Linked DNA regions of Bombyx mori. The protein of the gene in region 1 purifies or fractionates together with the protein of each later gene. This does not show direct contact. Links are inferred from orthologs where the notes say so. Each region holds a gene or a part of one and is shown in the gene's direction. Other genes may lie near its edges.

Region 1 (3,670 bases):
TCATCGAAACAGATAAGCTCTCATCAAGTAAACGTGTTTCTAATAGTGTGGTACGTTTGTGGAGGTATCTACATAGCTAATAAAAGTATGTTTATTTAATAGTTGTTTTTTGTATGGTGTTTGTTTTTTTTTTGTGATATTTTAGTTGTAAGTGTTGTATTTTACGGAATAAAGTTAATGCAATGAAAATATGTATTTTAATAATAATTAAAACATGTCATTGAATGACAATGCAACGTCTTATGCGTTGAGCTCCGAGTTGATCGTTATTCTTTCATACGATAGTAAAGGGAAGGGGTGACTTTGGTGGCATCCTTGGAAAATTCAGGATTTTGCCCCCTTCACCACTTGTCACAGGCCTCCTGCCGACGCCCATATTGTAAACGAAGACAGCCATTTCGGATATAGGGTTAAACTCAGGGTCTATGAGCACAAAGTGGACGATCGTTGAAACTTCCGCACGTGAGTGGTGATTCGAAAGGATGGATACTGGTAAACGAGGCAAGCATCTTCCTGGAATTGGTGTTCGTTGGAAAACGTAGGCTGATTGCTCAGCTGGCAGTGTTGGAAGCTTGATCTCGCCCTCGATCATCGAGGTGGTTCACCCATTCCTTTCAGATTGGGTGAACCGTCACCAAGATCGTCACTCTTCGAGTTAATTACATTGAAGATCACATAAACAAAAATATGCTAAACGGTTGAGTTATTAACAGTTATAATAAATTGCTCAAGCTGATAGTAGAAAATGAATAATGTTATTGACATATTATGTGGTAGGTAACTACTTAATATTTTTATAAATTTTATTTTTTTGTATATCTCGTATATTTTAGTGTATAGTCTGTGATTCTATTTGACAACGATGACATCTGTCAGAGGCTGACGCATCACAAAAACCATCGCCCAAAATTTTATCCAAATACAAAATATGAAAGTAAAAACAAATTGAGAAAACGTTTTTTAGAGTTAAAAAATTCTCACCATTAAAATATATCGATGACATTTTAACCAGTCGATAATTTTTTATGCGTTAAAAGTGAAAGTTTAAAATAGAACTTTAAAAACGTGTTTGTTTTCCTCAACCGGTTCAAAGGAATAAGGTGAATTAAATTAGATTACTACTAATAAGTTGGTCTCAAGTCAATATTGAACTTTTATTATTCCAATAAAAGGATAGTTTTGTTATTCCAATATAAGTAATCAAATAAGTACCTGATTGTTTACGTAAATATAATTTTTTCGTGTTATCAAAATGTTTATCTAATTTTTTCTTCAGATAGTGCAAATATTATCAGTCGTCTGTAAAAGTATTAGTAAGTACACAGATAAATTGATTTGGAAAAAATAAGAAAATATTAAAACTTCTGCATCTCGTTCTATCAATGCTGGGGGTCATGACTACACGTCCTGTCCATGGCATCATCAACCTTATATCATTCGATATTTTTGCAAGTACCATCAGCATAATTATGTAATTGCAAATATTACAACAAGCACAAGATGCATTTTTGCTCCACACCTTTAAACTGATACTACTTTTGATTTTAATTGAGTGCTTATTGTCTTTCTATTACATTGTAGAGAGGCGTTTCCCTACGTGAGGCCTATGCCCTACAAGGGGCCAATTTGATAATTAAGTGGGGCAATTGCACTAAATGAATATAGAAAATCTGTATTAAAATTATTTTGAATTTGAATTTCAGTTTTTATTATATGTTTTGAAATATTACTTACTGTGTTCTGATAACAATTTCATAGTGATTTCTACCTAAAACCTAACATTTATGTTTCTTAAGTGAACAAATCAATTTTTTAATGTTAAAAATTATATTGTATGAGGGCATAAATATTTTACAAAAGTGGGAAACACTGTTTTATAGTTAGAAATAACCTGACAATAGCCCCTGTTTCCAATCTATAATTTGCACATAAGTCATTTTTAAAATATCTGTTCAAACATTTCACTCACAGATGTGGAAAGCTGCTACTAATGTGAAGGCACCAGAGCCTGCTGAAGCAGATGATTGGGAAACAGATCCCGACTATGTTAATGATGTGAGTGAACAGGAACAAAGATGGGGGCCCGCCGGAAGGAATGTTGAGGCAATTGAGTGAGCAATGTTTTTTAACCTAATTTATGAGGTTCGATTATAAAGCTTATACTGTTGAAGAACATGGTTGGGACTGCATTTACATGTATTTTCGTATGTCAATTACACAGTGTGAATAAATATTTTTGGGAAAGCATGACAGTTTTCCGCAACATTATTGGCTACCCTAATTTTACACATAATTGTTTGTAAAGTTAAACTATTATCACATATTTTTTCATGGGATGGAAAACATATGTGAAAGTGATAGGAAAACATATATGAAAGTAATAAAAAAGCTCAAAAATATAAATGATTATTTAATTTACTTAAATTAAGAAACACAAAAGTTGATCTACCTCAATACAGGCTAATAAAGCGTACCTAATGAATATCCTATGACGTAAAGAAAGCAATCTGTAATGTTAAAACCGCTTTGTAAATGTTCATTTGTTTTGAGACATATCATTTATGTATAATGAATTAGTCATGCTTGAAAAACTTGGAATTATTTTACATATTATATAATTTGTTGAATATAAACTGACCCTTGCTAAAGAGTGGTTATGAGGTCCCCTCGGTGAAGGGGTCCAGTGCTCAATATACGAACCAGATACTATACATGTTTTATATTAAATGTATTTATTATATTATGTAATATGTGCCCATATTATCTGCACCTATTACAATTTTATTATAATTCTTTAACAGCATGGCAAAATTACGTGAAGAGGTATTTGAAGCTGACAAATTAGCCAAGAAGAAACAGTATGAGGCTGGACCGAAACCTTCATTTGGGTATGTGATCAACTTTAAATGTGGTTTCCAGGGCCTGACCCAATAAAGCCTGGTATAGCCTGAATAAGGTGTATTCTTAAGTAGTAAAACAAGTACACTAATGAATTAATGATTGATGAATTAACATTGCATAAAATAAATCAACATGTTAAATTAATTATAGTGCACGTTACGTCAGCTCGCTCAAGTAAATAGATGCTAGATGTCATATAGCATAATTATCATTAAATTGAGACTTTGTTGTAGTGGATACTTGTAGTTGTCTTCAATAACAAAAGTCTCTGGTCAGTGAACCTAGAATAGTGACGATTAAGGCAGATTATATGACGAATAAACTATATTGTTACTTGGGTAAGAATAACGCCATCTGTCATTAAATAACAGAAACGAATATCAAAAGAACTAGTAGTATCGAGAACGCTCGAGATGTGCAACGCCATCTATTATCAAATATCGGAAACACATATCGAAACGTCTTGTTCTATCGTGAACTTTCTCAATAATTGTAATCTTGTCGTGTCTACTATAAAAGCATTGCAGAGATGACATGAAGGCAGTTGGTAATCTATTCGAAGCGAAACAGCGAACGGATCACGTGAAGCGAAGCGGAAGTGAAGTGCGAATTGTAAAGTGTTCCTAAGATGTTCTAAGTGTTAAATAGAGTTTTAATTAGTACTTCGCTGGAAGCTTTATTCATCCCGAGTCCCAGCGCGTAACAATATAATATACCATTTATGAGGAAATAATGACTAGAGGCTCTTTAATAGCATGGAAAGACCAAT
Region 2 (3,762 bases), on another chromosome or scaffold:
CGTATGAGTATCTCTAACTGGGTTGCCAGTCGCAACCGCCATTCGAGCAGCTGAGGACCGGACGAGATGGAAACAGCTCACGAGACAGGCAACGGTCAAGTTTCAGGGACACGACCTTCAGCAATGAAGAAAGCGACGAAGAAGAAGAAGAATGAGCATCGATTACTAATACGACTGGACGATCGAAATCATAGTAAAGGTTAAATACAATTTTGAATTGATGTGTTAAAGCCTTATTTCCTACGCTTTTTTTTAAATAGGGAAAATAAACATTTAGACTTATGTTCTATATCACAAACCTGATGAAACCATTTCTTTTTTTCACCATATTCAAGGCTTTCGGCGAAATTCTTTGCGATACCCTGGCCTTTCTTATCATCTGCGTTCTTATCAGCTTGACCGTAATTAGTGTAAGCCTCATCAATTAATATATTTTCCTCAAATCTTTTATGCTTCATTGTAAGTTATTGTATCATGTTACGTTAAATATAAATAAGGCACGTGAAAACCTGAAAACAAACGTTTCTCAAAACCATGCCTTTCTTGAAGTATGACATTTGTGTGACATTAGATAAATCATTACTTTGGGCTGTCAAATGTCAGTGTCAGGGCCTAACCACTGAAGTATGGCCTAACGAGTCAGTTTTAACGAGCCAAATAAAGTCACAATGAACATTTTATTTTGCTTCTTAATTAATTAAATATGTTAGTTAATTAATGATTAAATTTGGTTGAAATAGCTAAATTAAAATTCTGACAGTTTTTTTACGGACAACACAATATTTCAATACACATGCTAAAAAGACTAATTACTTCAAGGAGAAGGTGTGTCACACAAGAATTTAATTTTTGCATTCAAAATAAAACTTTATACGAAGTGTCTTTAAAGGTGTATTTTGTACTGCATATAGTTTATGACAACGATTTGTCATTTTTACAGAATTGTGAGATTTGCTTTCCGCTTTGCGGGAGTTGGGGAGTTGTGTAGTGTTCTAAAAAACAAATTACATTATAACTTTTTAATATTAATAAAATAAATTAAAAACTAAATAAAATGGACGACAAAGGACGGAAAGTTATCGTTTGCGACAACGGTACCGGCGTAAGTGAACACAAAATTTGTAGACTATTAGAATTTTTAGATAAGCTCTGAATCACGTACGGTTTTCCTTTCGATGTATTACAGTTTGTGAAATGTGGCTTCGCTGGTAGCAATTTTCCGGCATTTATATTCCCTTCCATGGTCGGCAGGCCGATCATACGCGCTGAAAACAAAATAGGAGATATTGATGTTAAGGTAAGTGGAAGACACTTTTTCTCATTATTAAGTTGACAACAATTTTTTTATTGGCCTATTACGAACAAATGAACGTTAATGTAAAGCACATAGAAACCTGAAGGACAAACTTTTGTAACAAAATTAATAAAATCATTTTACCTCTATAAAAATAGTTACAATACTTAAAAGTTTGTAAGCCTTGTTACAGCAAGGAAGACAAAAAGGAATTTCTGTTCATTATTTATAATATTGATCTGTGTTTTCAGGATATTTGTATTGGTGTAAGTAATATAAATACATCTAGGAATGTTTTATTGTTCTAACGTTAATTTTCTTTCTGATGTGTGATGATGATTAAATGCATTATTAACAATTGAAACAACAGTAGATTCTTTTTTTAAACCAAAACAGAGGTTTCATTTAAAAAATTAGTCTGGATTATAAAATATGGAAAGAAAATTCAGGACAAACTGTCTATCGACAGTCTGTTTGCCTATTCCATTGGAAACTAACTGCATGCTATAGGAACTAAAACAATGAGTGTTAGAAGGCTATTAAAAGATTGAGATATGCTTAAGAATTTTAATAGTCTCTTCGTATACTTAAAGAGTCCAGGAATGGGGTTTTGGGAGGCTTAACGACAAAGAGAAGATCTTCCACCGAGCGGGTGATATTGCTCGGTAGACCGATGGTCCGAATGTTGTTGTTCGGAACTTGTATATATGCACTTTATCTTGAAAATGTTGTAAGCGAGATTCAGGCAACTTGCTTTGTATGATGGTTACCTGCCACAGGGTGATAGTGACATCCATGCAAAGCCAGTATTTACCAGATTAGCAGGTTCTGACTTGGAATAGTGAAAACCAAGCATTATATACTTTGTGGCTTTATAAAGATATGAATGAATAGATATCTCAAGCATGAGGTATCCAATTTGTAATAGACTGTTATCTCCAAATAATGTTATCAAATTCTCAGAAGCGCTGTTTGGAGATGAAAACTAGAGAAAAGGGGACTAACATATATTATGTATTAAGTGTGCTTAAAGTGTCTTGTGAATATCTACCGAACTCTACCCTTAAATACGATAATCTTACATGCTGTTTAGTTTTACTCCAATACAATTAAGTTTTAGAATTGAAATCTTCTTTCAAAGATATACATTGGCAAGAGAGTTATACTGTTCACCTAATATAGAGTTTTTACTGAGTAAGCTAGATATGAGAATGTGGATTCTGGTGTATTCTTAATTTGACAAATGAAGTCAAGTGGATGCTACATATTGGAAGAGTAATAAAGTCAAAATCTCATTGATATAATGGTATTCTTATATTATTGCTGCAGAACCAGGTATAACTGGGGTCTCTCTGATATTGATAATGAATATCTACATAGTGTTAGATTTCTTTAACTTCCATAGTCTCTAAACATCTAAGTGATTGTTTGATTTGAATTAATCTAGATATAATTTTTTTTTCAAAAAATCCTTTTCTAAAATTCATTTATTTGTTGAATTTTTTTAGTATTCATGTTCAAGACTATCTGTCCTATGAATAATTGAAACAAATCTTGTCCCAAAAATTGTAAAAATATGATGTTAAAAATAATTACACTACATTTTGAGATTACTCAAACTCAACTTTTATTACTAAAAACACAACTAAAAATGTTGACAAAACAAGGCATGTTTTCATTTTTAACTCGTGTGTGTCTGTTTGTGAGTGTTTGTCTATGTGTAGATTATAAACTAAAACACTTTCTACTGGTGGTAGGACCACTTATGAGTCCGCATGAGTAGGTACCACCGCCCTGCCTATTTCTGCCGTGAAGCAGTAATGCGTTTCGGTTTGAAGGGTGGGGCAGCCGTTGTAACTATACTGAGACCTTAGAACTTGTATCTCAATGTGGGTGGCGCATCTACGTTGTAGATGTCTATGGGCTCCAGTAAATACTTAACACTAGGTGGGCTGTGAGCTCGTCCACCCATCTAAGCAATAAAAAAAAAACACTGTAGTGTTTGACAATTTCGCCTTCTTCTTGACTTTATACCCTGGTTTGTTATTTACTCTCCTGTTAGTGGGAAATTTGCACTCAAAAATAAATAAGTCAAACACACTTTTTTTTTATTGCTTAGATTGGTGTACAAGCACACGGCCCGGCCCACCTTGTGTTAAGTAGTTACCGGAGCCCATAGACATCTACAACGTAAATGCCGTCACCCACCTTGAGACATGACTTCTAAGGTCTTACTTTTAACAGTACAACGGCTGCCCCGCCTTTCATACCGAAACGCATTACTGCTTCACGGCAGAAATAGGCTGGGTGGTGGTACCTACCCGTGCGAACTCACAAGACGTTCTACCAGTAATTTGCTCATAATTCATTATAATGTTATCGTAAAATGAATCGCAGAATCTATTTAGCTACATCACGGGTAACAGTCATAGATATATGTATTTGAAGAGCAAAGCAAATTTACTGTC

Evidence for each region. Proteins that work in one complex are often made in the same cells at the same time.
Region 2: the proteins of src substrate cortactin (region 1) and actin-related protein 2 purify together in Homo sapiens (affinity purification with mass spectrometry; 3 studies listed by BioGRID and IntAct, with this or other methods). This does not show direct contact. The link is inferred for Bombyx mori from reciprocal best matches to the Homo sapiens genes CTTN and ACTR2.

Annotation. Positions count from the first base shown.
Region 1 is NC_085113.1:1,685,198-1,688,867, forward strand, and holds the start of src substrate cortactin, read left to right. Parts: upstream 1-832; 5' UTR 833-1,100; intron 1,101-1,269; exon of another isoform or gene 1,270-1,313; intron 1,314-1,971; coding exon 1,972-2,111; intron 2,112-2,801; coding exon 2,802-2,888; intron 2,889-3,670.
Region 2 is NC_085130.1:7,235,408-7,239,169, reverse strand, and holds the start of actin-related protein 2, read left to right. Parts: upstream 1-874; 5' UTR 875-1,054; coding exon 1,055-1,102; intron 1,103-1,186; coding exon 1,187-1,297; intron 1,298-3,762. Other genes in the region: CCAAT/enhancer-binding protein zeta, read right to left, coding at 300-458. UniProt on the Homo sapiens protein: ATP-binding component of the Arp2/3 complex, a multiprotein complex that mediates actin polymerization upon stimulation by nucleation-promoting factor (NPF).